Arabidopsis thaliana: one gene and its partners. The protein of the gene in region 1 binds, or shares a complex with, the protein of each later gene. Each region holds a gene or a part of one and is shown on either strand. Other genes may lie near its edges.

Region 1 (4,649 bases):
ATCACATACCTCTACAAGTGACATATCTATTTTCTCTCCTATCCCGTTTCTGTGGAGGCTCATGGATAGCAAATATCTCGGAGAACTGTAAGATAACCATACCATCTTCCACATACAACGTAGGCAGTGGGGTGGCGCCTTTGTCATCCAATGTACCTTCCAATAACTCATCCACCTCCTCCTGAATGTTTTGATGAGATCACTAACATAACAAAATCATCCCACAGCAAAAATATGTTATTTGAGACACAATTTCCCTTTATTTTGAGGGGAAACTGACCTCCTGGACATCTTCGGTGTCCATATGATCCTCTTTATCCAAGATGCTAGCCTCCTCTTCATACTCCAAGGCCTTGTCTTCCTTTAAGACAACTGCAACGCAATTTTTTTTGTCTTGTTAAGTTTATATTCTCAAGGACTTAAATCACACTAGACTACAGCTTTGCAAGTAATCATTTGCCTGAGCTCAACAAGTATAATTACAGGAAGAATGACTTAACAAAACCAATTTGAGTGATGAGATAACACAACAAAAGTACACTTTACTATGGGATAATTGTTTTGTTCAAGAAACGGAAATTTCGAAATGCAAACCTGGTTCCCTCTTTTCAGTTTCAAGAGATTTTTCAACTGGCGCTTGCTCCTCCTCTTGTTCTTCTTCCTCGTCATAATCTTCATCATCAAACACAGAAGCTCTGGACTTTAAACTACCCAAAGCAACTGCAGTCGAAAAATACTCCTTTTTTGGCAGTAGATGATCTTCCTCACTGACTACTTGAACTTCGGGCCCATCGTACTCTTCATCAATATCCTCATAATCAACAGCATCCTCAGCTTTTCTATCATAATCTACACAACATATCACCACAGTCAATGACGCTGATGACCAGGATTTGGTAGTGTAAATAGTGTCAGTATGTAAATGCTACGGGCAGGAATGTTGCATATTTAAAGATTGTAAACGTGAGTAGTTAAAATGTTTATGCATATAAATTACGCAAGACACTTTCTTAAACAATCCAATAATAATTGGATTATGACTACAACGAAAGTAAGAAGAGTGCAAGACCATTGTGATGGAAACATTCACTGGGAGAAAAACTTTCTAGCAGGTTTCCTAGAAGCTACTCCAGTATGGTTTAAAGAAACGGTAGAATGAAAACTAGAAGTTAAATGAACAATAAAAACTGCATAAGATAGACGACCCTGGCAGACAACATCACCTTGCTCAGCTGGATCACTTGCTGTACGTTCTGATTTTGCCAATAACTGTTGAGTTTAGAAACACCATTATTGGCATCCCAGTACAAGAAAAAGAGGATTAAAAACCACATAAAAGACTCGCAGTTCACTCGTCTATAAACTTTAGAAGATAAAATATTAAAGAGTGTGTAGAACGTTACATTTATATCTGGTAGAGATGAACCCAGCTTATCTGCCAATGCAGAAAGATGTTCTTTGGCGTCCTGAAAAGTTTAAATGTTAGCATTGGCACAGGTATGCTTGGTGGAGAATTTGCAACTCATAGTTAATAAAATACATATATCCTAAGTCCAGAGAGAATAGACAGAAAAACTGAGACCGATAATGAAAATAATGTGTTCAACAAGGTCATCATACTGAAAGCGTAAAACAGATTACCTCATCAAGGTAATCAGCGTCCAAGTCCCCAGAGTTATCAACATTTCCAAAGATGAATCCAAGGTTAAAACCCCTGCTGTTGTCCTCATATTCATCATCGTCATCTGCAGCAGACATGTAAAATATTGGTGTTCACCAAACAAATCTTGGCAGACATGTAAAATATTGGTGTAAAATGGGAATGCATGTGATAACTGATTATCATCACGAGTATTCAGAAATCACAAAGATTGCATGTTAACACTCTTGTTAAACTGCTAAATCCAAGGTCACATAATCATTGGATTCCTCTCCATCATCTTATCAGGCTACAGTAGCCTCCATCTAGTGAAACTACTATTCCCATTCTCTTCGTCATCTAAGATCCTACAAACTCAATTCCCTCTAGAAATTTAGAAAAAATAATCTTAACTATACCCTAGAACATGTCCAGGATCACTCAAGACTGCTCCTTTTCTACTTAAAGAAATCCAAAATATTCAAAACCGTAAATCGGTCATGAGCTAGCCTAAATGCACCAAACACTAGCTAGACAGGGACATCTCTAGTTTCACAAACTGTAGTAATCCAAAATTCCACAACCTAATATTTCCAATCTCTTTGTCAATTAAGATCCTACAAACCAATACTCAGAATCACTCAAGGCTGTTCCTTTTCTACTTAAAGAGACTTAATCCGAAATATTCAAAACCGTAGAACAATCATAAGCTAGACAGGGGCATCTCCAGTTTCAGAAATCATGTCGACAATGGACTGGACCGGAAAAAAGAAAAGCAACAAACTTTGATAAAGAAAGCAACATATATATACCTGAGGAAGTCTCGTTGTGGGAACCCTTGCCATTGGATTCAGCCATATTCAAAGATTTAACTACAATGGTGACAATCGGGAGACGACAAGGCAATTGTCCTTCCCAAATCCCCAACCATTAAAACTCAATCAAAACCTTCAAAAGAAACAAAAAAAACTACACAATTACAAGCCAACCTAAACGGACCTGGAAACAAAAAAAGCTAACTTCTTTATCTGAAACTTCATCAAAAGAGTCTCAATTTGGCTTTAAAATCACAACCAAATCGAAACCCCATTGATCAATTTTCGAGTTAAGCTGAGTTGCAATCAAAGCATTGGATAAAATTGAAGAAGACGATACGATACCATTCACTGATACGAGATTGTTGGATTGGAGGGTTCTTTCTTGAAACCCTAATTGAGGGTACAAGTAAGCTTCGCCGGAAAGGTAAACCAGCTCAATCGGACGAGACGGTACGATGTCGGAGAGAAGTTCCGAGGTAAGCAAACTCTCAAATCGGAGGAAAAAAAAAAGTAATAACAAAAAAAAGAAGAAAATTGCGAAGCGACCAAGACAAGATTGTGAGGGCATTTATAAAAGTTTTATAACCCGACCCGAATAAAGTTTGAGTCCGGGTCTAATTTCTTAACCAGGAAAAATCAATTTCGTTGTTTGGTATGGAGGTGGTTAAGCAGAAATAGAGTCGGTTCTGAAGTAATTTTTGTTGTTGTTTAATCAGTGGTAATTTTACGAATTTAATAGATATATACCTATGATATTTCTTTAAAATATCTTTCTACCAAAATTGCAAAAGAAAATTGAATTTTAAAAGTATTATAAAAACATAACTGTTATAGTTCTACATTTAAATTTTCAATTTTTAATAATATTTTAATCACTTTAATTTTATTTTTTCGATCGACTAACATTCTAATATCCAAATTTAAGGCACACAAGTTTAATTGATAGTTTTATTTTTTTCATCGAATAACATCGGATGTGAAACTCTTTATTGCATACCTTGTACATATATAAAAATCAATAACATGTTGATTTTAATTATATAAAAAAATTTAATATTAAATAAAACCAGATTGAATAAAAATGGATATTAAGAAAATATATAGGTTCTTTTATTTTATGGACCACTGCGTCGGTAACTATGACGAAGTAAAACGGCAGTAGCCGTTAAAAAAAATAAAGTAAAATGATCCATATAGACAGATCGGAGATGTCGCTGAAAAAATAGAAGTGTCGTTGGAAAAAATAGAGATATTGATCTAACAACGTAGGAGTCGTGAAAAATATAGCGGCCTAAATGAACATAATCCAGCTTTTCTTCCATTGTCAGTTTTGAACAACCAGCAACGAATTTTATAATAAATTATGCCATTTATTTCTCATTTCGTTCTTTAATTTTTAGTCATCAAATTTAATCGCAACGACCAATACAAGAAGAACATGGTATAATCATACCAAATCATTGATTCAATATTACCTTATTAGATTTTATAAAATTCATTATCCATTCAACAATTGTACCTCAACATTTTCAAATGTACCTCAACAAGCAATTTTTTCTTTATTTAGTTTAACCTAAACAAGGAATTTATTTTTATTTTTACCATAACCATCATGAACTTTGTTGACTTGTTAAATGTCTCTATCTCCTTCTAACGAAATTATCAAAATCAATTTCTGTTCCTTATACTCCAACCAAATAGTGGTCCTGATTCTAAATCCTAGTTCTAAAATTAAGCCTTGTATTTTCTCTTTTTTATTAACGTAAAATCAAACAAAACAAATATCTCAAATATTTTGTTAAGAAAAAAGAATTCTTTATTCAACGAAAAATATGGATTAAAAAGAACACCAAAGCCACGTGCATTGTCACTTCCCAACTTTAGAAAAATTGTATTTATATAAACAAGTTTTATCTAATTAGCAGTTTTATGTTATTTTGTCTTTAATCTCACTTCACCGTCTCTCTTTCACTCAATCTCCGTGATTCATTTTTTCTCCGACGTTGCTTAATCCTCGAAATCTCCGGCGATGGGTGGTTGCGTCTCCTCCAACCTCCTTACTCCGACCGATGACAGCAGCTTCTCTCACCTCACCAGCTCCTCCTTAAGCCAACATTTCGTCAAGCTAACTTCCACCACTTACGGTCTTCTCAATCTCGACTCTTCTTCACCTTCTCCTCCGTCTCCTTCCT
Region 2 (3,599 bases), on another chromosome or scaffold:
TCAAAAGGATTATATTGAATAAAGAGAATGAAAAAAGAAGGGAAAAATATTTGTGTAGAGAGAAAAGAGAGAGGAGGAGAAGAGAAGAAACGGAGGCGCTCTGCGTTAAACAGTGAGGAGGATGAAGAAGAAGAAGAAGAAGAAGGAAGGCGGAAGGGAAGGAGAAAGATAGTGGGTGCGTTATTGTGTCAAAACTTCTTTTATTCTTTTTATTTTTCCAATCCAGTCCTTTTATTTTCTGTAGACTTTCAATTCGCAACCCACTTTGTTTTCTTCTCTTCACGTAATAGTTCGTTTCGAGATCGGCCCATTATCAGGCCCACTAGATCCTCTTTCGCCGGAACTTGTGTGATTCAAAACGTCTCCGTACCAATTTTGACAGTAGACCGAATTCTGATCGCGACGGTTTTCAATCACGCCGAAGAAATACACAATTTGAATTTGAACTTATAAACCCAGTTCTTGTAATGTTCGACCAAAAACGAATCAATACTAAAACCAATTTTTAGGTATAGCCAAATTTAACCAAATAAACCGGATTACAAATGATTTTATTTGATTTCGAATTCTATAAAACCGGAAATGAAACCGAATCCAACCTAGTAAACCGGATTGCCACTTTTAGGCCATGTGGTCTGTAGTCAAAGATTGATCTTGTATTGAAAATGAAAACTGGAAACGTAAACCAAATAAAAACCAAACCGTAAGACTGATAGCCATTTCAGGGTCTGTATCCAAAGATTGATTTACTACAAAAGTTGTCACACAAAGTTAAGAACATCAAAGAACAATATGATCCACCAGGGAAGCCAAAGAAGTTCTCCTTTATGATGAGATTGATAGGCAAATCTCGCCAGCTTAAACCTGCCGTAGACCCTTATCCTTGAGCAGCATTGGTAAATTCCCCAGTCTTAGGCTGATATAAGTTCTCTTTTGGCTCTTGTTGACTAGCGGAAAAGGCGTGGAACTGATCTTTTAGGCACTTTTCCTTCGAGCTTTAGTCTCCGATAAGACTCCCTGATATGACAAGGTCTGATAGGTCCTGATTCTTTCCTTTCCGCCATAACAACTCGAGCTACAGATAATGTATTGAGGTTCAGTAAATGAGCTTTGTTGGCACATAAACAAAATCATTGGAAATTTTTGCACTGGCTTACCTGTTTCAACGAGTTCACCAACGAACATCTTTGCAATACCACACGCAACAATAATCATTGGCATACCAATCTTCTGACTACCAGTGACACCTATCAATAACTGCATTAACATAAAAGCTAAATGGTTCATATTTGCAATGAAACAAAATTAAGAATGTTGATAACCACAAATCATATAACATATATACCTTCTTCATCTGTGGTCTTTGAAGTGCAGATCTCCTAAAAGATTCATATCTACTCATCTGATCCTCAGTGAATTGCGATAATATGGTTCTGAAGAATTCAACAAACAATCAATCATCAAAGAAACATGAAGAACAATCAAAATTCTACAAAGACTCACTGCATTTTGGCCATTTTAGCAGGATCAGAACTAGTTGGATATTTAGTAAGCTCAACATCCATATTCTCTTCCTCTTCTTCATCATCTTCATCTTTATCTTTGTTCTTAGCTTCAGTAACAACAACAGAGGTTTTAGCTTTCTTCATCGGACGGCGAACATCCACAGGTCTCTCATCTTCATCTTGAGTCTGGTCGATTTCAATTCGTCCGTCTTCACTACCATCACCTCCTCCTCCTCCGCCAACGGGTGATTCCGGTGGCGATTCCTCTTGCTCTTCCTCAATCGCTGCTTCAAACGGATCCTTTGAATGCTTCATTCCTGATTAAAACCTAAACGAAAAAATCACATAATTGAGATCTCAAATTAGGGTTTAGAACGAAGCAAATTGCTACGGATCATTGACGAACCTTGAAGGTGAAACTCAGATCGAATTTCAAGAGACACGAATCTCTAGACCGTTGTTAACAACAACTGGGAGCTCCACAATCTTCCAGGCGGAGAGGAAAATTCATCGACTGTGTTCAATTTCAAGCTTTTCTATAGGAGTGTAGCGACTGTTATAAGTCGGTTTAGTCCAATCAATTGGTGGATCAAAAGAAAAGATCTGAACCGGTTTTTGTTAAACCAACCCAAAAAGTTTCGAGAACCACATCATTGGATTTGGGCTGGGCTCAGTTCAAAACCACTGAATAACTAACTGGTTTTTTTTTTTGGAATACAATGTTGGGATAACGATTTACAACTAGCCAAATGTTATAAATCGAGCTAGACAACAAAATTAAAAATATCAATGATAGTGAATTGGATACTAAAAAGTAAAAACACTCAAATGCTAACTATTTCTATAGATATTGGATAATCATATGTTAAATCAAATGCTTGAGTGATTTCAACATTTTTCTTTGGTCATCATGATTTTTATAATTCCAAATGAATCAAAGAACAGTTATCTATTTTTTCAAATCTTTCACATAATTCATAATTTTCTAGCAAATGTTATTTAGTTTTGCTTGATACTTTATGATAGGAAGATATAATGCTAACCCTTTTTTTCCTCCTCAATTTCAATATAAACTCATATCACCACCAAACCATCATTACAAATTCTAAAAACAAAACTCTATGAAACACATAAAACAGAAAAATATATATTTAGTCTCTTATATATATAACATCACTGCATTTAGAAAGTATTAGGCTGTTTAGCCTGAGAGATCATCTGGACAACCTCTCTCATGGTCGGTCTCTCAACACTATGTTCTTGCACACATAGCATTGCCACAAAGAACAGTTCCATGGCCTCTGCTAATGGAATATTGCTCAATCTCTGGTCAATGATCTTCACCACACCTTGTCTGTTACAGTTTGTTTGGATCTTTGACCATTGCACAATGTCTATCCCTTCTTCCCCAAAATTATCTACTGGTTTTCGACCCGTAATCAGCTCCAATAACACTACTCCGAAGCTGTACACATCGCTCTTCTCGTCTATTCTCAGTGTATATGCATATTCTGCATTCAAGAAACGGATAAAATGGGCTAAGATCAATCATACGTTTTAACTAGAAGTACTGAAATCCTAAGTTTGAATGTTACGTGTGATACAAGAAAGTAGTATTAGGAATCAGTCATGTACCTGGAGCGATGTAGCCGTACGAGCCAGCGATCGAGGACATGCACTCGGAAGCTCCATTGTCTTGCATCATAAACTTAGCAAGCCCAAAATCAGCAACATGAGCTTCAAACTCAGGACCCAACAAGATGTTGTTTGACTTCACATCACGGTGGATTATAAGTGGCGAGCAATCATGGTGAAGATAACACAACCCCTTAGCCGCTTCCAACGCTATTTGCAACCGTGTTTCCCATTTCAAAAACACTCCAGCTTTCCCGTGCAAGACTTCTCCGAGGCTACCATTAGGCATATACTCGTAAACAAGGAGATTCACGTCTTTGTTTGAACAAAAAGCGAGCAATCTCACTATGTTTCTGTGTCTGATTCTACCTAATGTCTGAATCTCTGCGGCTAAACCGTTGTCATGAGATGATCCTTTGGTTATGGTTAAGAGCTTCTTGACTGCAACTTCTTCTCCGT
Region 3 (3,621 bases), on another chromosome or scaffold:
CCTTATTACTGAGCACAGGCAAATTACGTTTGTGATTACATTCTCGGTGGCCAATACGATGGATCTAGCTCCACAAAAGAGGAGTTCATGGAGGTATGTAAGCTTATTTTGCTAATTCTTTGTATCATTCTGGTTTTTCTAATCTCTATGTTGGCGTTGTAGAAATTCAAATACGCAATTTCGAAGGGTTTCGATCCCGACAATGACCTTGTCAAAGTTGGTATTGCAAACCAAACAACGATGCTAAAGGGAGAAACAGAGGAGATAGGTTAGTTACTCTACCGTTTTTTTACATGACAATCGTCTTTTATCCTTGGAAACAAAAACACCTTAGTTTGAGTCTCATGCCAAAAACCCCACAGGAAGATTACTCGAGACAACAATGATGCGCAAGTATGGAGTGGAAAATGTAAGCGGACATTTCATCAGCTTCAACACAATATGCGACGCTACTCAAGTAAAATTCCCATACCTCAAAAACCATGCATCTAGACAAGTTTTACACTTGAGGAAGTGTTTATTCATCAATACTATAATCTCTTCAGGAGCGACAAGACGCAATCTATGAGCTAGTGGAAGAGAAGATTGACCTCATGCTAGTGGTTGGCGGATGGAATTCAAGTAACACCTCTCACCTTCAGGAAATCTCAGAGGCACGGGGAATCCCATCTTACTGGATCGATAGTGAGAAACGGATAGGACCTGGGAATAAAATAGCCTATAAGCTCCACGTAAGCGCATTTCAAAACTAACTTACTCCTTACCAAACTGCATTCACTGATTTTTTCTATTTTACATTGATAGTATGGAGAACTGGTCGAGAAGGAAAACTTTCTCCCAAAGGGACCAATAACAATCGGTGTGACATCAGGTGCATCAACCCCGGATAAGGTATATATATATTTGCAGCTATATTTTTGTTTGGTTCTCTTGTTTCCCACACGAACATGAGTGAAAATATTTGTGAAAAAATTACAGGTCGTGGAAGATGCTTTGGTGAAGGTGTTCGACATTAAACGTGAAGAGTTATTGCAGCTGGCTTGATTCGGCATTGTGATCGTATTCAAATACTATTTGTCATGTCAAGAGTGTACTAAAATATATGTAGTTGTATGATTTGTCTTTATAACTTTTGTAAGAGGTTTTGTAATTCAAAGTCAACATCCTCGTTATCTTACTCCACTTAATGTTCTTACCATAATCGCAATTAGACTGATATAGAACTTGAGACTGTGTAAGGCTGTCATTATCGAGAAGTTGTCACTAAAACAACTAGGTTATGAATCTCCGCGGTATCGGGAAAGAACTCATTTTCAACAAATCGAGCCACAAGAGTTTCTAAAATAGTTTAATGTAACGAAACTCGGGAAGTTGTCAAGAGTTCTCCCGCGATATTTCGTTATGTTTGGAAAATTTTCAAAACAATGTAATGAAATATCGCGGAGAACTCATTTTCAACAGAATCACTCATCCGAATTTCTAAAATAGCTTCATAAATTTTTACGAAATACCGCAGAAAAACTTATTTTCAACAAAATCAGCCACGCCAATTTCTTATAAAATTTTCCAATAATTTTTTGGGTTATGATTACTACAATTTACATTTGTTTAATTTTAAACCAAAATTTTGGTCTAAAAAAAAAAAAAAAAGTTGGTAGTTAATTTTGGGGTTGGAGCTCTATATAAGCGAGAGATGGCAGGATTCTCAAGACGCATTTCTCTCTGTCTCTCTTTCTCTCTTCATATTTCCCGGTGCTTCGTCGACGTTAGGTCTTTTCCGTTGACGGAGGCAAATTTCTTCGATTCTCTTTAAACCGGCGGTCCATGTGGTCTTACCGACGAGAAAACCCTAATTTCAGGGATTAGATAGCTTTTTGAAACAAATTAGAGCAATGAACACAGAGAGAGCTCAAGAAGGTGATAGGAACGATGCCGCATCTTCCTCTGGCTGCTCCGAGTCCTACGAGTTTAGCCACGCAGCCGCTAAAGCTGCAGTAGCTCAGGTCTGCGAGAGCGTTGGGTACGAGAATTTCAAGGATCCAGCTCTCGAATCTCTATCTGGATTCGCACTCCAGTACATTCTTCAGCTAGGTAAAACCGCTACTTCCTTCGCTAATCTAACTGGTAGGAGTCAGTGTAACGTGTTCGATATCATTCTCGCTTTGGATGATTTGACTGATAACAATGGCGAACAAGGAATTTCGTCTGAGAGTTGTTCATTAGGTCGTTCGATTAAACTTAGGGAGATTATCGATTTCGTTAATTCGAGTGAAGAAGTCCCTTTCTCGCAGCCATTGCCAAGTTTTCCTGTAGCTATAAGTGATAGGAGTAGGAAGATGATCCCAAGCTTTGTTGAAATTGGTGAAACTCCACCTGGGAAACATATTCCTTTGTGGCTACCAGCTTTTCCTGATCCTCATACTTATAAGGAAACCCCTATGTGGATCGAAAGAGTATCAGATCCAAGGGGAGATAAGATTGAACAAGCGAGGCAGAGACGAAAGGCTGAGAGAGCTTTGTTGAGTTTGCAGAGGAAACTTGTTTGTAAAATCTCCTCAAGGAATCCTGTGTGGGGAGATATGGATGGTGTGAAAGAAGAAATGAGAGATGATGAGAGTGAACTGCGTTCTGTATCGTCCGGGGAGAAAGTCGAATCATTGAATAGAGATGGCTTATCAGTGATAGAGGCATTTGCTCCTGCTATGGAGGCTGCAAGAGATGGGTTTTCTAGTGAAGCTCACACTGAATGGAAGAAGAATAAACCTGTTGCTCTTTCTAAGCTCAGAACCGAGAAGAAATTTCTCGGACAACCTTTGGATCTAAGTCTACAGATGAAGGGTGAAGATAGACCCATATCCTTTGTGCGTGAGGAGGATAGAGATGACAAAAGAAGAAGAGCGGAGTTCATTTTGAGACAGTGTATGGAGAACCCAGTAGACCTCAATCAGTTGTAAAATAAGTGATTCATTACAGTCTGTGTAGCGTACTATTAATCTTGTGATTTGTAACCTTTCTTTATACAGGCCTATGTTATGATTATGATTTTGTGACTGAAAGAATGAGAATTTCTAACCTATCTTTTAGGCAATTGATATGATGTCTTTCTCATGAGATTCTTGTTACATAACTTAATGTTAGTTTCAGTTTCATGTCTCATGAGTGGGAGCCAGGGACCAGTGTGGAAGGAGTTTAGTCTTGTATCATTGCTATATTTCCAAACCAAGTCAAGTGGTCTGAGGTAAGTATATTTTCTTTGGTCGACATGTGTTTTGCTTCGTGATGTTTATGGGGTGTGAAACATATCACTGTATCAGAATTAAGATTATGTTATGTCAATTAGTTGAGAGCTCGAGGTTAGAAAGGAAAGCTAGGTTATTGAGTTGGGGCCTTGTGGATTAATGTAGGATTTTGCTTTGGACACTGGGCGATAGATAAGAGACTTACTTCTCTCGTTAATCAAGCCTCTTAAGAGTTTACGAGAACTGAATCCTATCACAGTTCCTTTAACTAACACCCCTAGTTTTCAGATTCCATACTTATGATTTAGTTTTTCGTCTATTAGCCCACCACTCTGATATCAGTATATATAGACTCCTGGCAGAACCATCATTTTGATAGTCT

The links. The genes of interacting proteins can lie anywhere in the genome.
Region 2: HAF01 (region 1) and TAF11 share a complex: the UniProt entries of both Arabidopsis thaliana proteins name them as parts of the TFIID complex.
Region 3: HAF01 (region 1) and TAF8 share a complex: the UniProt entries of both Arabidopsis thaliana proteins name them as parts of the TFIID complex.

What each region holds. Positions count from the first base shown.
Region 1 is NC_003070.9:11,853,765-11,858,413, forward strand, and holds the start of HAF01 (HAC13 protein (HAC13)), read right to left. Parts: upstream 3,002-4,649; 5' UTR 2,800-3,001; intron 2,588-2,799; 5' UTR 2,498-2,587; coding exon 2,452-2,497; intron 1,746-2,451; coding exon 1,642-1,745; intron 1,467-1,641; coding exon 1,404-1,466; intron 1,270-1,403; coding exon 1,224-1,269; intron 850-1,223; coding exon 595-849; intron 373-594; coding exon 281-372; intron 182-280; coding exon 10-181; intron 1-9. Other genes in the region: AT1G32760 (Glutaredoxin family protein), read left to right, coding at 4,487-4,649. UniProt on the Arabidopsis thaliana protein: TAFs are components of the transcription factor IID (TFIID) complex that is essential for mediating regulation of RNA polymerase transcription. Core scaffold of the TFIID complex.
Region 2 is NC_003075.7:10,952,013-10,955,611, reverse strand, and holds TAF11 (TBP-associated factor 11), read right to left. Parts: upstream 2,073-3,599; 5' UTR 1,912-2,072; intron 1,834-1,911; 5' UTR 1,821-1,833; coding exon 1,504-1,820; intron 1,434-1,503; coding exon 1,346-1,433; intron 1,258-1,345; coding exon 1,158-1,257; intron 1,076-1,157; coding exon 948-1,075; 3' UTR 536-947; downstream 1-535. Other genes in the region: AT4G20290 (uncharacterized protein), read left to right, coding at 28-453; BAM3 (Leucine-rich receptor-like protein kinase family protein), read right to left, coding at 2,688-3,016, 3,141-3,599. UniProt on the Arabidopsis thaliana protein: TAFs are components of the transcription factor IID (TFIID) complex that is essential for mediating regulation of RNA polymerase transcription.
Region 3 is NC_003075.7:16,426,104-16,429,724, reverse strand, and holds TAF8 (TBP-associated factor 8), read left to right. Parts: upstream 1-1,714; 5' UTR 1,715-1,892; coding exon 1,893-2,954; 3' UTR 2,955-3,086; downstream 3,087-3,621. Other genes in the region: HDR (4-hydroxy-3-methylbut-2-enyl diphosphate reductase), read left to right, coding at 19-93, 163-268, 363-457, 546-731, 805-891, 979-1,044. UniProt on the Arabidopsis thaliana protein: TAFs are components of the transcription factor IID (TFIID) complex that is essential for mediating regulation of RNA polymerase transcription.